Linked DNA regions of Canis lupus familiaris. The protein of the gene in region 1 interacts with the protein of each later gene in a pairwise test. Links are inferred from orthologs where the notes say so. Each region holds a gene or a part of one and is shown on either strand. Other genes may lie near its edges. The genes, in order: TASOR2, ERH, NEK6, LDOC1 and CARD9.

Region 1 (4,205 bases):
TTATACAGTAAGTGACACCATTATGGTTGGCTCTCAGACCCATCTGACACCCACCTTCTCTTTCTACTACTACTACTTCAATCAGGGATGGAGAAAAGCTCCACCTGCAGACAATCCACAGTGACACTTACGGAAACAGTTTTTGGTATTATTAGTCCTTTACATAGACAGGGAATCCACCTTCCTAAAACAAACCAATGATATGTTTTGAATGTGATTTTACATATCTAGAAAAAAAAAATCTTCACAAATGTCAGCATATACTCAGCTTTACTTACCTCATTTTTACAAGAATAAATGAAATTCTGGCTTTCTGGGGTATCTGGATGACCCTCTCTTGGAAAAATGTCTTTCCGTTCCTTCTGTACCCAGAGTTCCAAGCCTCTTGTGGGTGGAGGTTTAAGGAAGGGAAGCAAGGAGTTGGTGTCAGGGAAGGACACCTCGGCAGCGTGACCTCTGGGAGTTTCGTTGGTCTCCAACAGAGGGTCCACAGGACATCTTTCCACATTGGAGGACTCCTCGATTTCACTGAATTCTAATGATTCTAATGTGCTATTTATAGACACATATTTTGCTGGGTTGCTGTGTTCTACCACTTTTCGGGATGACCGTATGACTTTGTTCTGATTGCTGTAAAACAGAGCTACCCACATATGAAGCAAAAGCTTCACTTCTTCCACGTTATCAGGTAAGTCAGTGTTCCAGGGCCTGAGATTTTAAAGAAAAAACATGCAAAAAAAATCCTGAAAATGGTGATTTTAGTTGATTAAGTGCCTGCATTTTAATCTTAGTTTTAAATGTGTTCATTTTTTTTTAAATGTGTTCATTTTTATAGTAAAAATACATGAACATGAAATGATGAATAAGATAAAAATGAAGTTCATTTAACAAGGAATTACAAAAAAAAAAAAAAAACCAAAAAAACAACAAAAAAAGTAATTACAATGAATCTAATCCACTCATTTTATAGAGGCAAGAAAGGGAACTGAAACTCAAGAGCTTTGAAAAGTGACTTCCTTCAGATCGTAGACCCCTGACGCAGCAGAACCAAGACTGCAACAGAGGTCTCTGGCCTCCTGGGCTAGGATTTTTCTATTACTCTAACTCTCTCTGGACACAATATGCCTATTATGTGAATAATGGCTCCAGCAAACACCCAAATCCTCATATTTGCCAGGTTTGGCCAACTCATTTCTTTTCCATTTTTGTGTTTCTTTTTTTTGTGTGTGTGTTTCTCTTCTAATAGTTGGGAAAGTCTTAAGGTTAAAATACCTTAATTCAGATTACAGTCCTGAAAAATCTCCTGAAACCATACAGCCAGGCAGGATTAAGGCTCAGGACATGACCCTCTTGAGTAGATGGGAACACTTAGTGTACACTCCTATGGGCCTGAGCTTGTGACCAGAGCATGGGAAGAAGTCTAATACAGTTTAGTTGCTCCTAGGTAAGACACTCCGTGAAGAGGCAGCTGAGTGCCTTTTCACATAGCTAGTGCTCCTTGCAAATAATAACGGCTACTGCTTACCAGTTTGTGCCAGTCACTGTGCAAAACCCTCACATACACAACACCCTGACTTGTAGCTATTACTAAACTCATACTTAAAAGCACTGGCCAGGGGACCTGGATGGTTCAGTGGCTGAGCGTCGGCCTTCAGCTCAAGTTGTGATCCTGGGGTCCTGAGATCGAGTCCTGTATCGGACTCCCTGTGGGTAACCTGCTTCTCCCTCTGTATCTCTGCCTCTGAATCTCATGAGTAAATCAAATCTAAAAAGCATTGCCTACAGACTGTCATCCTCCATTGGCATCACTTGGAAACTTGTTAGAAATGTACACTCTCAGGGCCTGTCTCAAAGAGACCTGAGTTAAAATCTGCACTATTAAGATCTCATTTAAATATTATAATTCAAAGACCATAAAGGCTTTCATAGGAGTATCTCAAAATAGAAAGCTGTTCACTAGGCTAAAGTCAGCCTGCAAAAGGTCTCTGTGGGACCACCAACAGTGGCAAAACCAGCCTCATTTTCTTAGTTGTCAGTAAACATGACTGCTTGATAATATCACTAAGTTACTGGATTCACACACAGTACTTCTCTTTCCCCAAAGTCTAGTGCAAATACTCCTTCCCACCACATTTATCAGCACAAAAGTCACATCCATCTACCTTGAGCATCACTCTTACTTACCCATGTAGTGCTCTTATTATGGTTTTCTCCAGGGGGTTGTTGGTGTATTTGCTGTCTAAGCTGAATGCATATTCTGAGTCACATTTGAAAGTGACCTTAAAGGAGCCATCACAGCTATAAACAGTATGAGAGCAGTAAGAATCTTTCAGGCTGGAGGACAGCAAACTACCCTTGCGCCTGCACCCCGGGTCCTCAGACAGCTTCTGCAGAGGGGAGGTGCTGTGCTGGTGCCGGAATGGCATTACCTTTCCCACCGGGGTCCCTGCTTCAGGGCCTTTTGTGCCATTCTTGGCGAAGGCAGGGCCTGTGATTCCCCTCTGCTGTAGATGCTTCTTTGAATGTTCTGCAAGGAGCAGGGCGTAGGAATGTTCCACAGCAACAAAAGAGCTTTGGCTTGCATCACTAGTCTCTAGGGTTTCCTCAGGAAGTGCTGATGGGGCTTCCATAGGGGGCGGATCACCAGGAACCCAAGTCTCTTCCATTTGGCTGATGGTGGAATCCAATGTTGGATTACTCTTTTTCTCAGAGGAAGGCTTAGTTAACAGTCCACCTTTTTGATTCTTAACACCTCTGTGATATTCATGGTCAGACGTACCACGCACAGAATGTTCTTTAGAAAGCAGAACATCATTCTGTGGTGATTCAGAGGAGCAGGGAAAGTTCCTGGGCTCCGATGACGGCGTGGTAGAAGTAGCAGCACTTAAGGCTAGGTCAGCTAGCATATTTAGGGCTTGGGAGTCACAGTTAACAATAGAGTTTTCAGGGAGGTCTTTTTGAGCCACTGAGATTCCTTCCGTCTGAGTGGCATTTATGCTAGTAACATCTTCTTGTCCAACTGATGAGATTTCTGATGGCAGTTGTGAACCAGTTTCTCCTTTTGCTTCAGTATAAAAGAAAAGGAGGACATGTAACATTTGATTTCCGTATATTTTAATTCTCTGCTATAGTACACTATGGCTTATTGAAAATTAATGGTTAAGTCACTATATTCAAGAAGAACCTCTGGACAGGTTACACAGATTATATGTTGAAATATTCCTATCAGATAGGTTTCTTCCAACTGCCAGTTCTAATATAATGTATTTATACCACAGGAACAAATCTTAAAGAGCATGCATATTGATTTAAAAAGAAATCATCTTTCAAAAATGCATGTATGTAACTATACACAAAGTATACTGCTCAGCTAAAGAAACAAAGAGGAAAAAAAAAAAAAAAAAGACCCGGACTCCTGCCCTCATAGAGCTTACAATCTAGTGCGAATAGAAGGATTTCTAAGTTTGAAGTGTATATTATATTATGTTAACACACTTTTACAAAGCACATCCCTTAAGTGCTCTGTTAGAGAAATCACCTAAGTTCAAGCTACAGACAACTCTTAACCATATTGGTATTTCATTAGAATATGTAACGATACAAATAAAAAATCAGAAGTCATAGGATTATTCATTTAGAATCACCAATTTCATCACCTTCTAAAACTTTAAATTCTGTACTGAAAACATTTCCTCTCTACTCTGTCTGCAAACAGCAGAAAGCTGACCCTCGACAGCAGCCTACTTGCATTCCCAGGATGTTAGTTCAGTCTCCTGAGAGGGGGCTATTATGAAGGACAGAGTTCGCAAGAATACTAGGCAACGATTCCCCACAGCAGGTGCATGGACAGAAAAGCCAACTGTGTTTTTCTTTGTAACAGCAGCAGCAGGTCTGAAATGAATTATTAACCTGCCTGCAAAGGCCAATGATTAATCCATTTAAAGAGAAAACCCTGGTCTGCGAGAGTCATCAGAGTGTGTGTGTCTGTGTGTGTGTGTGGTGGGAATGATAAAAGTAATCAACCACTGTTTACTTTTTATTTAAAAGAGCAACCCCAAGAGGAGTAGATGGAAGGAAGGGACCCAAAGCAGAGAATCACCTCATCAGCCCCATGGATCTGCTGGAAGCACAAAATCCATTTTGTGATCTGATGATGTGTTTATTCACTGTAATTTCATTCCATTGTGGTTAACACTATGGCTCTT
Region 2 (4,952 bases), on another chromosome or scaffold:
TGATACTTATTTGGTTCCATTTGCCTTTATTCTCTGAGCTAATTTTTATCTTCTAACGCTGATGGAGTATACTCAAACCTCAAAAGCTTTTAATGCTTATTTGTTCAATCAGCAGACTAATAGGTTCTGAAGGTATCCCTAGAGCCTGTCTTAACAACTCTATAGTGTTTGAGTCTAACCAGAATACACAAGAACTGTAAGATATTTACATAATGAATAACGGAATATCCACAGAGGGAGGCTTCAGAAGGCCATTCACTGTAATCACGGGAGCTGGATTTAAAAAAAAATACTTGCAGCAGAAGGACAATACCTATAATCAATGTTTCAATTTTCAACAAATACGGTCCCTAGTATCTTCTTCCTTCCTGGCTCAAATTAATAACTTGAGAAATCTGGAGGAAAAACAAGCCTAGTTCCTAAATGAGACATATTCTAATAGTGAAGATCAAGAAAACAAAAATAAAAACTCTTCATTAGTGCTTAAACTCACCTTCCATGCATTCATTCACAGATTCATAGTCAGCGTAAGTTCTGCCTTCTGGCCTCTTGGTAGGCTGTACCAGCAAAATGGTGTGAGACTGCAGGGAGAAAAGGGATTTCAATTTAAGTTTCTAACTCATATTTGAGAAATTCATAGTATGATATAAAATCTCTAGTCATGACACAAATGATCATTGGTTATTAATGCACTATTAATCAGGGTGCTCTTCTTACATTTATGCTTTTGTTCAAGTGTGGTGTCAGATGATGGCTGAACAACTCTGTAAGGTCTCTTCGGACTCCCTGTCCTTAAGGGCTGCTTTCTGCAACTGTTGTACTTACTGCCTCTAAGCATTCAGCATGAGTTACCTTCTACTGTTTTTTCTTCCTTTCTTCCCAACTAGATTATAAACCCACTTAGATTTTCTATCTCCACTGGTCACTTTCTATCTCCAGCCCTATTAAGTGCCTTAAAAAAAAAAAAATTTATTCGTTCATGAGACATACAGAGAGAAAGAGACATAGGCAGAGGGAGAAGCAGGCTCCCTGTGGGGAGCCCGATGTGGGACTTTGACAACCTGAGTCAAAGGCAGCCATTCAACTACTGAGCCACCCAGGTGCCCCTATTAAGTGCTTTAATAAAAATTTAGAAGTAGGCTGAGAAAAAGAGAAATACTATTTATGACTGTAAGTAGTGGATCTATGTTCTTTTTCTATCCTTAGCACAATAACGGAGTCACAGTAGTCGTATCAGTCACTACTATTTAATTTTGTTCTCATTCTGATGAAAATTAAGGGACTAATTTACTTCAAAAAAGTAATGATATGCAAACGGCTATTCAATACGCTACTTTTTACATCTAGTCTTAAAGTGAACTTCTGAGAAAGCTCACTATTTTCAATACTTAGTACTCAAAGACAACGATTAAAAACGAAGAAAAAAAATGACTAAATTTACAAAACTGTAGCTGAAATGGGTATTATTTTTAAGTGGCAGTATTTTGCTTTTAACATTTTAAGACCAGAAAGCTTCCCAAACCAGTTTTGGTCACTTTCTTTTTACTGGAGCTATTTCCAAAGCCGTTTGGTTTTATTAAAAAAAACAAATATGTATGCAAAATACAAGTACACGTAAACAAATACATATATACTTCTCACAACAGAAAAATAAGGTTGCAAAACCTAAGTCAGGAAAAGGTACACAGATATACTTTAATAAAATCCTTATTCTGATTACCAAGCAGATGTAAACCACTTTAATGAATAGTTAATCTGGTCCTACTCTTAAAATTCTTACACATGAACTGAGTCATCCTTCTACTGCTACAGAAATATTACAATACACAGGACTAGGTCATTAGCTTCAGGTGCTTCTGCCAAACTACCAAAAAACCCCACAAAAAATCCCCACCCCTTGAAGCTTGTCTTTAATAAAGCAGAAGTACATACGACGACTGAACCAATAATTGTTTGCTTTATCTACAAATTCGTAGCTCTTAAAGCCACTTGGACTGAGAAGGTATTATCACTGCTATTTGCTCACCCAGAAAGGCTCCGTTGGTATTAACTGCTGTCCCTTCCTCAGATTTGAATCTTACCATTATAACACGTTACCAAAGAGTGACATAAAGGGCAGAGAAAGAAGGGAAACTCAGAGATACAGAGTCTTCCAAAAGTCACACTGCCAATTATGACGAAACAAGAAAGAACTGGAGACCCAGCCTTCCGATTGCTCAGTCGCCTCTGGGAGACCACGTTGGGTCAAACACTTAAAAACACCTCAATTCAGAAAGGTGCAACCTCAGAGAGTTCCTTGTTAACAACAGCTGCGTAACCTGTTAACGTTTAACCCCAGCGATCAGAAAACCGAGGTTGAAGTGCGGAAGAACCACGATTCCTCATAATCCCTGTGGATCACCTTCTTTTTGGCGGAATTAAAAAAAATAATAGTAAATAAAAATGAAATAAAAAAAAAAAAACAAAAACACGAACAAAATACCCACTCACTGCACTACCACCCCGATCCGATTCTAAGGAACCTGGACCCTCAGCTGAGCCCATCTTCTTTTCAGCTTTGAGTCCCAGAGAGAATGAGTAAGAACAGGATTGAGGGCCGGGAGAAACGCCAGATCAGGCCTCTGGGGTCTCGGAAAAGAGGGGAAAGAAACGTTGTATGTCTGTTTGAGGACGGAGCCCAGCAAAACAAAAGGGGATGCCTGAGAAAGCACGCTACAAAGCAAAGACGACCCCTCCCGGCCCACACGCTGGGCGCAGCACACCCCATCTGTCAGCTTCAGGCGCAGGTTTGTCAGACATCCCTCGGCCATTGTTCCCACATCGGGCCAGACTCTGGGGGAAAAGCGCAGCATCCCCACGCAGCTCGCGGGAGGAAGCGCATCCTCCGCACCGCACGCCTCGCCGGACCTCGGCCGCGGGCGCGCAAACGCAGGGCGGACCTGGGCGGACCCGGGCGGACCCGGGCGGACCCGGGCTCCGGGGCCTAGCGCCAGGCCCAGCGGCCCCGCGGCCCCGCGGCGGGAAGGGGAGAGGTCGCGCCACAAGCTGGCGGGCCGGGGAGCTGCACTCTCGCGCTGGATGGGCTGGGGACAAGATGTACACGGCTGGGATCGCCTCAGAGGCCGGGGGATCGGGGAGCCGCCGAGGCCTTTCTCACCATCGCGCCAAACTCTCTCGCCGCAGCCGCTGCCGACACCGCCGCCGCACACGAGCTTAGCCGCAACGCCGCCAACAGCCAATCCCCGCGAGAGGAGCCGCCGGAAGTCGTCAGAAACGCACCGCGAAAGAGCCTTTTGGACCATAGAAGCGAACACATTTCCGGCAGCTAGAGCGGATACCGACTCTGGCTCAGCCATCTTGGATAAGGGCGAGGAGCTAGATACAGGTAATTGCTCCAGAACTGGAAAAATAATCGTTTCTTCTCAAAAAAAAAAATCGTTTCTTCTCGAGACACGGTCTTCCATATTCTCGCCATTAGACGCACGACTAGAGTGAACACAGATATATATGGACTCTGACACCAGACCTCTTTAATTAGCCCTACTCAAAAATGGCGGTAGCCTAAGAATCCCGGGCCATAGGTCGGTTGTAACCCGGAAGTACTCTTCTAAAGGAGGGGGCGGTGAAGCAATCCGGAAGTGGATGTAATGAAGAGGTGCCACTTGGCGGCCATGGCAGCTGTAGTATCGGTGGCTCCGGGTCGAGGCCCAGCGGAGTGGAGTAATATGGGCAGCACCGGGTATAGGGCAGAGACAGCTTTGTATCAGCTTCCCTGCTGAACCCCTAAGCCCATCGTTAGAGACCTGCGGGACTCTTTGCCCGTTCTAGACTCGGAGGAGAGTTTGCCGGGACTGGTGGGCTGGTCCCAGCCTGGGGGAAGACTGCCCCGGGGACGTAGGGGCGCCGGGAGAACGAACAAGTCTGCTCGAGTTTTCCTTTTTCTTGCTGCCATCTGGGACGTTGTCCGTGGAGGAAGTGGGCCCATTGTGCCACCCCTCCGACGATTGAAGAAATCGCTCTTTTGCATACCTTTAACCGTAAACCCCAGGGAATCCAGTGACTGGCATCTGAAAACGCAGGGGCCGGGACCTGAGATTGATGAAAGTTCTCTCTGGTGCTAATATCAGCAAAAAGGGGCTAGTTCCAGGCGCGTTCCAGAGAAAGGGGTTTCTGAACACATCTAGTGGGGAGGACGGACGACCTGGAAAGTCCCCTTGTTCTGTTGGAATCACTATACGCGTTTAAGAACCTAAGGACCCTTTGAGGCCCCTGAAAATTTGCAGTTCTGGTGGCGGTGGGCAAATAAAGGAGGACAGAATGGATGATTTCATCTCCATTAGTCTGCTCTCTCTGGCTATGTTGGTGGGATGTTACGTGGCTGGAATCGTTCCCTTGGCTGTTAATTTCTCTGAGGTAAGAAATTCTCAATTTTCTGTCAGCTTTCAGGATGGCTGGTAGGAAGTAGGGAAAGTTGTAAAGAAAGGGAAGCTGCTTCCCCAACGTATCTCAGAGCTAAAGGTCTTACTAAGAAAGACTGTCTTCTAACAAGATACATAGAGGGGATCCCCGGGTGGCTCAGCGGTTTAGCACCTGCCTTTGGCCCAGGGCAGGATCCTGGGGCCCCGGGATCGAGTCCTGCATGGGGCGCCTTGCATGGAGCCTGCTTCTCCCTCTGCCTGTGTCTCTGCCTCTCTCTCTCTGTGTGTCTCTCATGAATAAATAAATAAAATCTTTAAAAAAATAAAAAAGATACATAGAATTTCATAATAGAAAGGAACCTTATTTTAAGCATCGGAGTCCTTAACGTGGGGTGGGCAGACCCCCTGGAGATCCTGGGGTACTCTGAATCTTGTGAAATTGCATACAAAAATTTAGGGCTCTGTGTATTTTCCTGGAAAGAAGCACCATAACGTTCTTTTGATTCCCAGGGATTCCAAGGAATCAAGGTTCCA
Region 3 (4,693 bases), on another chromosome or scaffold:
TTAAATTAACGCATCTCAAAGCAATTTGCGAATGTTCATCAATTTGCAGAACAGAATCAGAAGGGAGAGAAATACCTTTTCCTTCCAACATCAAAGGACACTTGCAGGGGTGCCACACTCCCCCCCAAACCGCACCGGGTCTCACACACAACATTCTTTTCAAGAACAGCTTAGTATAAACCGTGATAAGAATGGAAATGAACGAGTTAGAGAGAGAGGCACAGGGCTAAAGTGGCATGTGACAAGAAGCCTATGTAGAAACAACCCTGTTGTCAGATATTCAGACGCAGAGTCAGGGCCCTGGATGTAACGCACCCTCACCTGGGGTCAGAAGCCTGGGGCTCTTCCCGAGGGCAGCGCCCCAGCCTCTTTGCTCCCCACAGAAGCCTGGAGATGCCAACCCGCATTTAATCTTGGATGACTCACCAGGGTCTTCCACTCTTCACCCTCTAACTCCCTTGCTTGGTCTGACCCGAGAAGAGGAAGGGAATATTCTTCTCTTTTTGACAATTGTTTTGACACTTCCCTTCTGAAACCAATCTTTGGCACTTCATGAGGACAGAAAAAAATGTGAACTGCAGCCCTTTCTATCTGACAGTCCTGGCCCTAGGCATGGGTCATCCACCGCCGAGGGGCAAGAGTAGACAAGGAAGGAGGGCAGCACTTCTGGGAAGACGTCTCCCAGAAGCCCAGAGCCTGGTGAGGAACCTGGCCCCGCAAGAACCTGGAACACAGTGACCTTTACTTTCTACGTCCAATGGAAAGATGGAGGGCTCTGCTCAGACAAGCCTGACTTCAACCGCACAGCATCCTGTGATCTTTGGCACATGATTTCATCTGTGTCCCCAGTTTTCTCATCTGTAAAATGGGCACCATGATAGTTCTGTCTCTGTGCTGCCGGGTGGACTGGGTGAATTTAGGTACTTACAGCTTTCGTGCCTGGCATATGGGATGCCCTCAACAAATGGTGGCCATTAGTTGTGATGCTACTTTCATAAAATTATGCCTCGTATTCCATCTCTCTGAGCCTCAGTTAGGTCATCTGTAAAATGGAGATGACAACCCCCAACCTCATGGGGAAGATGAAATGAGTAGATGTGTGTGAAAGCACCGAGCACCCAGCCTGTGCACCTTCAGAAGACAAGTTATCAGGCCCCTGGTGTGGAGGGCAGACTGGAAGTCAGGGAGGTGACAGGATTCTGCCTCTACCTCCTCTCAGCAGTCCCAAGACACAGGGTTGACAGAGACACAGGTCTCTGTGTCTCTGCGCCCACAACTACTAGGAGGATTAAAAGTGCACACAGTAGGTGCTCCGTAAGCATGACTTCCCCTGCCCTTCCCCTGCCCCCTCCTCGCTCAAAGCCACTGGAAACGTCACCTGGCAAAGCCAGGAGCTTCGATTCTTGAAACCCGAATGATCTGAAATGGCTCAGAGCCCAGACCAACCTGGGCCACTGCTTCAGTCTGAGACTTTATTTTCTGAAGACAGAAACTACTTTTAGTCATTTCCGAAGCAGACAGGACGGCAGAGGCTGACAAACCACAGGGACCATTTTAAATCCTGGGCCTTTTCTTCTGGGAAGTTAGGCAAGAACCTTCCCAAATGTTTGCCCGTGGGGCTCTCTGCCAGGGAGTGACTCATCCACAGCTCCCCACAGGCATATTTTATTTGGGGAGTGGGGGATGGAGGGAGGGCCTGGCCTTGAGGGGAGAAGAAGAGGCAGCCTTTCCAGCAAACCCAGAAGGTGGGTTGGGTTTTGTTTTGTTTTGTTTTTTTCATTTCTTTTTAGGACAAAAAAGAAAAAGAATGTGGATCTTTTTTGTTTCCTTCCAGGTTTTGTTTGCTAAAAGAAGACGTCCAAAGTTCACTCAGTAAGCTGCTGCGTTGGGAACAGGCGCCTCCAGCCGCTCTGCATCCCTTTCAATGAAATTCTTCTTCCATTAACACCACGATTTTTAAATGTGCCTCCAAGATCTGCCTGCGCACGACATTTTCTCCTCAGAAAGTCTAGCTGAGTTTTGAAAATTCAGGGGGACGAGGGAGTTCAGTGTTTCTGAAGTTGCCCTTAAAGCAATCGAGACTTTTTTTTAAGATTTGTTTATTTGTTTGTTTACTTATTTATTTATATGAGAGACACAGAGAGAGAGAGGCAGAGACACAGGCAGAGGGAGAAGCAGGCTCCATGCACCGGGAGCCCGACGCGGGACTCGATCCCGGGACTCCAGGATCGCGCCCTGGGCCAAAGGCAGGCGCCAAACTGCTGAGCCACCCAGGGATCCCCAATTAAGCCTTCTGACTGCAGAGATTTTCAACATTTCTAAAGCTCCCCCCAAAACTGTGTCAAAGCTGCGCAGACAGACCTTGGAAATCAGTGTCCCAAGCCTGCTGTGATCAATTTGTTACTGTCTTGGGGGCTCATGCTTGGAGCCCAGGCTCAACAAGTAAATAAGTCAGATGAATACGCATCTAGTCGACAGAGCAGGCAGAGACAGGGCGAGAGACCCTCAGATACACAGACAAGTGTCCTGGCACCCCTGGCCTTCCCAGGGTCACCGTCCCCCATCCCCACCCCCCAAGGCCCGCGGGAAAGATGAAAATCTGCCCGGGCCAGAGACCGGAAGAAGAGGAGCCAAGGGACCCAGAGGGGGGTGTTCAGGAAGAACTGAGGCCGCGTCCTCTAGCAGCAGGCCGAGGAGCCCTGCCCGCCGCAGCAGAGCCGCAGCCCAGCCTGAGCATCCTGGGGCCCCACCGAGGCCCGGCAAGGAGGCCTCCCCGTCTGCGGGGCCCAGCCTGGCTCTGCGGGTCTGACCTCCGCCCCCCTTCGGCGCGCGAGGCCCCGCACCCGCCGGGAGCCCACCCCGGGCCTAGTTCCCTCCGCGGGCTCCCTGGCACCCGGGAGGGAGCCGCCTGGTGGGTGCAAGGAGGTGCCCGCCCGCGTGCGTGAGAAACGCATTCACACCCTCCCGGACGCAGGGTGCATGTTCGCGTGCACGGACACGTACACTTTTGTCCTCAAAGGCTCCCAAACGCGCCCAGAAGTCACTCGTGAGCACTCGCGCACGTGCACACACGCACGCCCGGAGCCTGGAGCACGGCTCCCCATCCCCACGGCACGGGCCCCGCGAGCGCTCGGCCCCGCGGGAGCCCCGCCGCGCCCCAGCCCGCCCGCGGCCCCGCACGCCACCGGCCGGGCCCCCGCGACGCGCGCGCCCCCGCCCCCGCCCGGCCCGGTTCCGCCCGGCCCGGCCCGGCCCCAGGCCACTCACCGGCGCGCGGGCGGCTCGGCTGCCTCGGAGGAGCGGCGCGCGGGCGGCCGGAGCGGAGCGGGGCGGAGCGGGGCGGAGCGGAGGGTCCCACACTCGCGGCCGCACGCCCGTCCGCCCGGTTCCGCCGCCGCCTGCGCGGGCCCGCGCGCTCCCGCCCCTCCCCGCCGCGGGCCCGCGCGCTCCCGCCCCTCCCCGCCGCGGGCCCGCGCCGCCCCCTGCGCTCGCTCCCGCGCGGCCGCCACGCTGGCCCGTGGGCGCCCCGGGGAGACCGCAAGGCGCCCGGAGCCCCCGGGGCCGCGAGACGTCCGCGCAGCCCAGGCGCCCCCTCCCCGTTCCAAAGATGGGGAGACTGAGGCCCAGACCCTGCCGGCGAGTCGGCGCCAGCAGACCCCCCTTCACCCCTAGTCCCCGGGCTCTAGACGCTCAGGGCTGGGGTCCGCACTCAGCGAACCGGGGACCCGCCCCCGCATCCCTGGGTACCCCCCGACGCGGCCCCCTCCACGGCCCTGCGCACCCTGGGTAGCCAATCAGCTCTTATTGCGCGCCTACTGGATGCGGCGCACGTTTAGGAGGAAGCTCCAAGGGCATCTCCGCCTGCTGAAGGTGCTGCCCCCTGCCCTCAAAGCGCCAGCGTCTCCTTATATGGAGCTCCCCAATGCCTGTGAACCCCGAGATAGGGAGAGTCGAGGTGCAAAGGTTTCCGGGAGAAGGCCCTACTGAGTGGGTAACACCCTCTCTAAGGAGACAGAGTCTCCATGGGGCCCCGAAGGCTGCAGCTGGCCTCCTAAGGGAACCTGCGCGCCCCCTTCCCCCAAGAAGGGCTCCGGGCCGGCTCGCTCAGCTCCCGCCTCCTGCATCGGCCGCTGCTCCTCCACAGGCAGGACCGTGCGGTGTCCCCCCAGGACGCCTGGAACCAGGAACTGACACTGACCACCTGCCGGCTGTCCAGCTTAGTGACAGCACCGTGCCGAGCCCGCAGAGGACCCCCCGGCGCTCCACCTGGCTGCGACCTGTGACAGTAACGACACCCGTAGGACCCCCGCCAGGTGTCATACTCACAACCGCACAGCCATTCTGCGAAGGAGGCGTTATGCCACTTTCATGCCCGTTTTACAGATAAGATAAATGAGGTTTAGAACAGAAGCTGAGAGAGCCCAGTTCTCTTGCTCAAAGTCACCCAGTTGGTAAGGGTTGAGCAGGGAGCTAGACCACAGCACAGACTAACTCCAGTGCCCAGTCTCGGCAGTCCCACCTCATAAACAACATAGCTCTGGACTGCTGGTATAAGAGGGCACGGGGGACAGCTGGCACAGACGGCCCAGCCCAGTCCCAGCCTTGCCGTGAACCAGCAGGGACAGAACAGGTCATTCTACACGTTGGTTAGCGGTTTGGTCGGGGACCTACTTACAGTCTCACTTCACATGAT
Region 4 (4,075 bases), on another chromosome or scaffold:
GGGTGCGATCTCAACAAACCCATGCCTCTGAGGTGACCGGTAGGATGACCAGTATCTCATTTAATCGACAGTGAGGTTTACCGGCACAAATAAAAGAATAACCGGCCTCAGAAGATCTTATGCAATAGGGAAGTTTATTACCTAAACTGGAGATGTTAAGGTAGGGCTGGCTCCAGCTATGGTACAATGAGTACATTTGGGCAGATAGAGATGAGAACTCTGAATCCCTCACATCTTCCTAAATGTTCCCGTGGCAGAGGCAGCTTCCACAAAACCCACTACCGAATTTATCTGATTTCACATTTCAAAGAGTTCTTCTCAGCACCCCCACCCCACTCCCTGAATGCCTCGGAGCCCTCCAGGCCCACAAAGAGGTCTCAGCATAGCCCAGATAGCAGTACAAGGTCTAGTTCAGGAGACAGTCAGTCTCCAATTTCCATAGGCAGGAATCTGGGACATATGTATGGGTGGGGATTCTAAGACAGTGCACCCGGGGTGCTGAAATGTTAAGATCACGCTCTATTTAGTATGGGTTCACTCACACAGGATCCAGGGCTTAATGTCAGTTCAAGCACCTGAAAGGGGCATTAAAACAATATGCTACGTAGTTAACTGAAGTCTGAACTCAACAGCGCCCCGCGGGCAACAAGACTTAAGGGACAGAATTTCTCTGGCAGTGTTGAGTAAGGAATCCAAAGGCTCAAGAAGATAATAACATTGTATGTGTCCAGATTTATGCCTGTTGTCCTAGTCTAATTATTAACAGTGTCCCCCTTTAACTCTCAAGTGTCCCAGTTTGGGATGGTGTGCCACCTGCTCAGCCACCCCTTACCCATGCCACCCTGGAGGCCCCAGAGGACACTCACTCCTTTTGCCAGGGCTTTAAGAAATGCCTTGGTGAGGAGAGTACCAGAATTCCTAGAAAACCCTGTGGTAGTTGTCCTCTGTAGCCTAGAGATGACAGTGGCGAATACTGGGACTGAACTAAGTTCCCTGACCTCAGGGGGCATAACGGGAGTCAGAGTGAGATTGGAAGAGGCCAATGATAGCACTTAACCATTAAAAGACACTCCTTTCTTTATTTTTGTAGTGCTTGATATTTATTGAAAAGAACGTAAATGCTTTTTTCCAGGTGGTATTGAGGAGCTGGGCTGAGTGCCTGTTTTTGTTTGTTTGTTTTGTTTTTAGTATTTCTGTCCAAATGCACACATCTGTTGGGACTGCTGCAGTTTGGAAAGAAAAAGGACAGCTGTGCAAAACTGGTGCATAGGAGAAAAGAAATGTCAACAATTTGGCTGCCAGGCGCACTAGGCCCCTGCAGCAATCTGGTGGGGAAGGGGAGGACCCTGGGAGTAGGCAGGGAACTAACCAGGTTGAAAGACTGGCCCCTTCAGGGGCTGGTGAGCTGTCCAAATCAATGTCCAAGGACATAGAGCCAACTCAGGCATCTTCTAGGTTGGTCCTTATTTTCAAAGGCTGTGTTCTGTCGCTGGAATGTGGTGGACGGTGGTGAAGTGGCAGCGTAGGTCTCTGGGCAGATGGAGGCCTTGCAGTCGGCAGGGCAGGGCTGTGCGTGGTCTGACCAGTTTGTAACAGGGGCCTGCCCTATAGCTGGGGCTCAGGACACAGTCCAAATCAGCAGGGGAGGGCCCCGGGGCTGGCCAGAGTGGGTGGCGGCGCGCTTCCGAGCGAGGCCCCAGCAGCAGGTAACCGGAACAAAGGCAAGCACTACAGGGGGATGACGGAGAGAACCGGAGAGCTGGGGGTAGGGAAGGGGATGGGAGGGCGGAAGGGCGCTGGGCGGCTCCGGGCCGGGCAGGAGAGGCGGGGGAGAGGATGGCGGCGTGCAGGGCCCTCCCCCCTGGGCCCGAGGGTCTCCCGGCCTAGTAATCATCTTCCTCGTCGTCGTCGTCGTCGTCTTCTTCGTCGTCATCCCAGCCAAAACACTGTTTCATCTCATCGAGGAAGGCCCGGTAATCACCTAGGATGGGGCTATCCATCTCAATGTAGGGCACCACCCACTCCTCGGCTTCCCCGGTGAGCAGGCTGATTAGGAATGCCACCTTCATGGCGTCGTTGCAGAATCGGTTCTCGTTGACGAGCATGTAAGACGCCGTCTGCACGATAAACTCGGGGAGCCGGGAGCTCTCGCCGCTAAACGTTTCGGGGAAGGGCACCGGGCAGCTCGGCGGACGTACCTGGCGCAGCAGGGTGGCCCTCTCGCACACCAGCAGCCGCAGCTGTTCCATGAGCTGGCTGTTCTCGATGCTCAGGGCGCGGTGCCGCATCAGGAGCGCGTGCAGCAGCAGCACCAGCTCGTCCACCATGGCGAACGGCTTGCAAGCGCAGGGCTGGGCTCGGCTCAGGTGCGCACGGAGGCCTCGCAGGAAGTGCGTGTCCGCCGAGGCGCACGGTGGCCAGGGGCGGAGGGCGGTGCGCGCTGGGGTCCGGCTGCTGCGCAAGCTCCGCCCGCACAGCCACTCGGGCGGCCGGCGCGCCGGCGCGGCCCGGGTCGGGGGGCGTGGTCAGGGCGCTGCCGGCGCCGCGAGGGGGCGGGGCCGGGGCGGGGCCGGCGGGCCGGGGGCGGGGCCGGGGGCTCGGTCCAAGGGAGGGGGCGGGCGGGAGCCGGGGGCCCGCGGCCGGAGTTCCCGAGGCCGGCGCCCGGGAAGGGCAGGCTCCCGCGCTAGAGCCCCGGATGTGCGCCCCGGGACCGCCAAAAGCCAGCTCAGAGAGGGCCAACCTGCTCAACTTTAAAGGATCGGTCACGCTCGGACTCAGCCGACTCACACAGTGCGGGGCTCCTTGGTGGGTCTGTGGCTACGAGATTCCACCTGCGCGTTTCGGTGACACACGTCCTCGCTTATTGAAATCCCACTCACCCAGGGAACTGCTGGCGCTGCGGCCTGCCCCGCGGGAGCCACGCATCCTTTCGGAGTTGCGAAAGACCCTTCCTTGGGGCTCCTCTTTGAAAACAAAACAATATCTAAATGGGGTTTTTTTTTCTTTAGTTGGGAAACAATATTGTATACCTACATCCTTTTTTAAAAAGTATTTTTTTCTAAACAGTCAAGTATAAAAACTTCTGCAAAAGCACCACTGGAGAACGATTTGCAGGCTCTCGCCTCTCTTTGACCCTCTGTTTCATGTCCTGTTAATGCCCCTTGGCCCTCGGTCGCATGTTGTTTGTTGCTTAACAATGAACACTTGTGTTTTTAAATGCTTTGGGCTTTCTACTTTGAACTGGATTATTTAAATCGTTGAGTCCAGGACCCTAGAGCTGAAATTTTGTTGGCTCTGCTTTTAAAATATATCCCCAGATCAGTCACTTCTCCCACTATACCACCCTGATCCAGCCTTCCTTATCCCACCCAGACTGCTGCAACTGCTTAGCTTTCACTCTTCTCTTCCTGCAGTACACACAGGAGTCCCTCCTGATCCACGGTTTTGCTCTCCGGTGCTTTCAGTCACCCGTGCCAAGGGTGGTTTGATCCGGAATCAGCTGACCCTCCTTCTGACCTGGCACCAGAAGATCAACCAGTAGCCTGGCGTCGGATCACTACGCATTCTATCATCTCACGTCATCACAAGAAGGGTGAGTACAGGACAGTAAGATACTTTAAGAGATATTTTGAAACTTGCATAATAGTTATGTGTTACAAACATTCTATTTTATCACATGAGCTAGTAATGTCTTAGTGTGCCTAACTTATTTAAATTGTATCAAGTACGTATAGGAAAAAATATAGTCTATATATAATTCAAGACTATCCTCAGTTTCAGGCATCTGCTGGGGATCTTGGAACAGATTCCCCTGTGGATATGGCCAGGGAACGAGTGACTCATGTCTCAGGGCAGTGGCTCATATTTCTCAGTGCCCACTCTCTCCAGAGAGTAGGCACAGGAATCCTTTTGAACAAAAGTGAGAACTTTTTACTCCCCTGCTCAAAATCATCCCAACAGTTTTCCACTCTCACTTGAAATAAAAATAAAATAAAAATAAAAATAAAAGCAAAGTCTTGGCTGTGGCCTGCAAAGCCCTGCCTCATCTCCTGTGCCTATTCCCATTTCCTGTTCT
Region 5 (4,698 bases), on another chromosome or scaffold:
GCTCCAGGCTCTCAAGGAAGGCCACATAGCCCTTGTGACCGGTCCGCTGCAGGATGTCCAGGAGCACTCCTGAAACCCACAGGGCCAGGCTGGGGCTGGCTGGGCTTGTGCACTGAGCTCCTATAGGCCCAGCCCAGGTCAAGATCTACCTGCTGCCCACGCACCCTTGCCCTCCCAGGGGTGTCTGCTGTGCATGGAAGCACCACGGCTCCCAGCAGACAGGACAGGGTGTGGGGTGCTGGGGAGCGCCCATTCCTGTGCTCAAAGCTCCCGGCTGAGGCAGCACTGACCCACTTTCCGCTTGCGGATGACCAGGTTGGGGTCACTGAGCACCTGCTCCTCATCATCGGGGTTCAGCACCTTGCATTGCCTCAGGTAGGGCGTGATGCGCGAGGGGTCGATGACGGAGATGAGCTTCACTCGGAAGCTCTCCAGGGTACTCCAGCACTGGTCTTCGTTCTCATAGTCTGACATGGTGGCGGCCACCGCTGCGATTGGTGGGAGAGCAGCTGGCAGGGACAGTTGCATGCTGGGCCCAGGGGAGTCCAGGACAGGTAGGTGTGAAGCCTCACCCGCCCTGGCCCTCCCTCCTCTGCGCTGGTGCTCTGACCGGGGCACCAGCTCAGCCAGGGCAGCCCTCCCGGCCTTCTCTAGACCCTGCAGCCACTCCCTCAGCAGGTGACCTAGGCTTTCTCTGTCCAAGTCACCCTGATAAGTGTGAGGGAAGATGTGGAGGCGCTTCAGGGACTGGCGGCATCTGAGAATACCCCCCCCCCCACTGTGGCCTTGTTCTGGCCTCTGCACCCCCATCCCTAAAGCGTGAGTCTGGCAGACCACCACCTCGTACCCACTGGCAGGGCCTCCCTGGCAGGTACAGGGAGGTAGGCGCCCAGGCTGGGGAGGCACGCCTGGGGCATTGACCTGCCCACGTACACGCCAGCCTGTGCTGCTGTAGGACTTCCTCCTTCTTGGACATGGCTCCTGCTCAGGGCCTAGCCCCACCGCCTCCTCTCTTTCCGGCGGCTGGCTGGTGGTGCAACAGTGGCCCAGGCACCGGCTGGCTCAGGAAGGGCAGCTGTGGACCGCTGCACCAGGAGGGGCCCAGCTGCATTGGCATGGCCAGCACCCACGCCGCTCCTGTGCCCTCTGCAGACTCCTAGGGACCAGGCACCAGCCACCTCTGGGCTCCTCTCCCTGTTCCTGGGCACGCAGGGTGCCAGCTCCCTGACCAGGGCCATCCGTGTTGGGACTACCCACTGCTGCTCCCTTCCACTGGCGGGCACAGACCACGCTCGAGGCCTGGGCCAAACCAGGAGCCTCCTCCCAGTGGTGGGGACAGAGACCCTGACTTGCCACCTCAGACTGCCCTCAGCCAGCGTAGGAACTGTGGGCGGAGGTTTGCCACCCAGAGGAGCTAGGCCATACTCCCAGAGACAGACGGCAGCAGGCAGGGCCTCTGGAGGAGCTTCCTGAACTTCCTGCAGCCCTTGGCCACACCATCCAGCCAGAGAGACACCAGCAACTCAGTGGATGGCCCTTGGAACGTTCAGCCCGCTTCCTGCCTTTCCCACCTACATCCACAGGTCCCACACCTGACCCCTGCCTCTAATTCCACCGAGCTGAACAAGCAGGTCTCAGGTGGCTGTGAAGGACAGGGCAGGAGTGGAGGCCCTGGGTGCTCTTCTGGGGTATGTGCCCCAGGAGCCCTGAGCAGAGAGATGGGTGTCTTCCTGGCCACCCTGAGAGGGCAGCCAACCAGCCTACCTCAGGGTCCTCGAGAGGCACCTGTGCAGTGGACACTGGTCAGCCCAGGCTGGCCTGATCCGATGAACAGGAGGTGCTGCTGGCAGCCCAGTGGAGCTCAGGAGGAAAAGCTGTGCACTTCCTGATGGTGCTGCTCAGCTCCACAGAGCCGGGAAGGTCCTCCCAGAGGGAGTGGGTCCTTGGGCCTGCCTTCTGATTCGCCCGCCTGGCAGGGCCCAAGAGGCGGGGCAGAGGGAAGTGGAAGTCCTGCTCAGAGGCCTGGAGGCCCACCCCTGGCATCCACTAAGTGGAAGTGTGAGCAAGGACCCTCCCCGGAGCTGGATGAGGCCAATGCACTGTCTAGTCCGCTCTGGCCTGAACGCAGGCTTCTGGAGGCTTCTCCACCAGGGGCTGGCTGGGAACCTGCAGCGTGGGCCCTCTGCAAAGTGCAGGAGATCCCAGGGCTTCAGGCCTAACTCTGGGATTTCAGCCAGATGCCCACACACACAGTAGGCCAGCCGGGCCTTGATCACATGAGGGCTGGTGTAGCGTCCAGAAGGCATGTGGCTGGAGACCCCACTGTGGCCTGTCCGTGCTTGCCCCACATGGCCACCGGCCCCTGCTACACTGCACACCCTATCCCTTCCTGGGAGTGTCTCCACTTAGCAACCTCTTTACTAGGACACTCGGGACTGTGACAGCAGGCTCCCAGGCCACTCATCATGGCCCCGCAAACCAGTTTCAGAAGGGCTGTTTCTGCCATCAGAGCTGCACCCAATAGCCAGGATAGCAGGCCTCCAGACCAGGGTCTGCCAGGAAACCCCCAGGCCAAGGCCTCACTGGCGCAGCTGGGCCGGTTGGTCCAAGTTGTTGGCTGCCAGGCTGAGGCAATTGCTAGGGAAAGGCCAGGATGGTCCTGAGCAGGGCTCCCAGCCCCACCTTCCCATGGCAGCTGCCTCTTGCCTGACAGGCTCCCCGCCTGTAGGCTCTCGGACCTCTGACCCTGGGTGGATGGAGGCTGCCATCGCGCTTCCAGAACAGCCAGTCCTGGGCCCTCCAGGAGCTATGACCAGCAGTGTTTCCCTGCTCTGCAAAAGCAAATTAATAAAGGGTGTCTCCCCCACGGGGGTGTTGGTAAGAATTCAATGACAGAAATGTTCTGTTCTCTGTATCAAAAGCCAGAAATCAATAACAAAAGGCTAACTGGAGAATCCCTAAACGTTTGAAAATAAAATAAGAGACCTCTAACTAGCCATAGGTCTAAAGGAGCCCCCAAGGAAAGCAGAAACGAGCTGAAAAAGCCCCAGGTGCAAACTGAAAAGCTAAGAGCTTGTGCATGAGGCTGCACGGTGGTGGGTCAGCCCCCTGGTGGGTGGGTACAGCACCCCAGGGCATGCTCACACCTGGAGAGCACAGGCATGAAGCCTCTAGAACCAAGCACCTCAAAAGGCTGCACACCAAAGCCAAGGCTGTGCACCGCGTCCCTCAGAGCACCAAGGGTGCTGGGGCTTGGCCTCCCACCAAGAAGCAGCTGCTCAGGAGGAAGGCAATGCCGGCCTGGGGCCGCTGCGTGACTTGTGGGCAGGCGGGCAGCCGCTGGTTCCAGATGCCTGCCTGGGTCGGCGGTGTGGTCAGGAAGGCAGTGAGGCAGGTCCACCCCATTCCCTGTGGCCCCACCAAGGCAGCAGCTGCCTGGTAGCTCTTGGCAGGCCCTGGGGCTTGAGCCACAAGCGTGTTCTGTGCAAAGGGCACTCCCCACGTCCTACACGGTGGCCCGGAGCTCAGGGGGTTCCTCAGACCTCAGGGCCCAGCCATCCGGGTCCTGGCACGGTCAGGGGAGCCCCAACCCTCTGCCCAGTCTCTTAAGGCAACAAGAATCTGGGGCTTGCCTTTTAATAAAAAAATAAGCCATTCACTTTATTCCTTCAAACATTCCTTCCGATTTGTGCTGGAGGACTAGCCAAGCCCCAGTGGCTTCACGGTCACACGGCGAAGCCTCCCCCAGCCTCCAACTGCTTTAGGCTGCTTCCTCCGGGAGGGTTGGAGCTGGGCTCCACAGGCAGGTGGGCTCACTGGGGTCCAGCATGGCTCCCGCCTCCTGGAACACAGAGATGCCCAGATGGTGGGGACACCCTGACCCCAGCCAGACCCCAGAGATGGTGCTGTAGGATAGGAACCAAAGGTGGCATTAGGCCTCCTCCGAGGGCGCAGAACCGGGTCTGGCTGCCCACCTGCAGTCCATGCAGGGGGCCATGCTGAGGGCAGGCCCTAGAGCCTGGGTGGGCTTCTGATGCCCCCACCCCCACCCCCAGCATCCCCTCTGTGGACCCTCTCAGGGCGCAGCCCCACTACACTCGCAGGAGCTGGCTCCCACCTCTGTAGACCAGACATCTTCCCCCACATGGGATCTCTGCACCATGAACTCAACTAATCCGTACTGAGGGCCTACTTGATGCCTGCTCTCTGGGCACTGAGGACCCGGCAGCAAAAACCAAATCATATCACCGCCCTTAAGGGCTCACGTTTATGGCAGACACGCATGTAAACCATGTCGGGTGTAGAAGAGACAGTGCTAGCAAGACAGACATTGACAGTGGTACTGCCCCAAGAGAACAGGCAGAGAGAGCATCTCTGAACAGCCAAACACTGAGCAGACATGATTGGGATAAGGGAACAAGCCTTACAGACATGGACGAAGGCCAGGCAGAGGGGACAGCAGTGCAAAGGCCCCGAGGCACACGTGGGTCAGCAAGAAGGAAGCACCAGAGCCTGGAGTGTGCAACCCAGTGGGCGAGGGTGTAGCTAGGGGAGAGGGATTACATGGCCCTCCCCACAAACGGCTCCCATAGGCCTGTATAACCCTCCCCATCACACTTGATGTGAGCTCCTAAGGGCGATGATAGTCTGCCCCACATCTGGAAAGCTGTGGGCTCCTGTGTGCCCAGAACAGAGGCA

Evidence for each region.
Region 2: the proteins of TASOR2 (region 1) and ERH interact in binary tests that used the Homo sapiens proteins (3 or more experiments, as listed by UniProt). The two-hybrid records come from large-scale screens. The link is inferred for Canis lupus familiaris from reciprocal best matches to the Homo sapiens genes TASOR2 and ERH.
Region 3: the proteins of TASOR2 (region 1) and NEK6 interact in binary tests that used the Homo sapiens proteins (3 or more experiments, as listed by UniProt). The link is inferred for Canis lupus familiaris from reciprocal best matches to the Homo sapiens genes TASOR2 and NEK6.
Region 4: the proteins of TASOR2 (region 1) and LDOC1 interact in binary tests that used the Homo sapiens proteins (3 or more experiments, as listed by UniProt). The two-hybrid records come from large-scale screens. The link is inferred for Canis lupus familiaris from reciprocal best matches to the Homo sapiens genes TASOR2 and LDOC1.
Region 5: the proteins of TASOR2 (region 1) and CARD9 interact in binary tests that used the Homo sapiens proteins (3 or more experiments, as listed by UniProt). The two-hybrid records come from large-scale screens. The link is inferred for Canis lupus familiaris from reciprocal best matches to the Homo sapiens genes TASOR2 and CARD9.

The regions. Positions count from the first base shown.
Region 1 is NC_049223.1:29,220,538-29,224,742, forward strand, and holds part of TASOR2 (protein TASOR 2), read right to left. Parts: intron 3,065-4,205; coding exon 2,185-3,064; intron 709-2,184; coding exon 279-708; intron 1-278.
Region 2 is NC_049229.1:43,500,307-43,505,258, forward strand, and holds the start of ERH (enhancer of rudimentary homolog), read right to left. Parts: upstream 3,332-4,952; 5' UTR 3,317-3,331; coding exon 3,158-3,316; intron 582-3,157; coding exon 494-581; intron 1-493. Other genes in the region: SLC39A9 (zinc transporter ZIP9), read left to right, coding at 4,318-4,413. UniProt on the Homo sapiens protein: May have a role in the cell cycle.
Region 3 is NC_049230.1:58,758,511-58,763,203, forward strand, and holds the start of NEK6 (serine/threonine-protein kinase Nek6), read right to left. Parts: upstream 3,379-4,693; 5' UTR 3,268-3,378; intron 554-3,267; exon of another isoform or gene 322-553; intron 1-321. UniProt on the Homo sapiens protein: Protein kinase which plays an important role in mitotic cell cycle progression. Required for chromosome segregation at metaphase-anaphase transition, robust mitotic spindle formation and cytokinesis.
Region 4 is NC_049260.1:112,048,652-112,052,726, reverse strand, and holds LDOC1 (protein LDOC1), read right to left. Parts: upstream 2,475-4,075; 5' UTR 2,328-2,474; coding exon 1,884-2,327; 3' UTR 1,060-1,883; downstream 1-1,059. UniProt on the Homo sapiens protein: May have an important role in the development and/or progression of some cancers.
Region 5 is NC_049230.1:49,108,696-49,113,393, reverse strand, and holds the start of CARD9 (caspase recruitment domain-containing protein 9), read right to left. Parts: upstream 3,225-4,698; 5' UTR 1,765-3,224; intron 530-1,764; 5' UTR 529-529; coding exon 291-528; intron 70-290; coding exon 1-69. UniProt on the Homo sapiens protein: Adapter protein that plays a key role in innate immune response against fungi by forming signaling complexes downstream of C-type lectin receptors.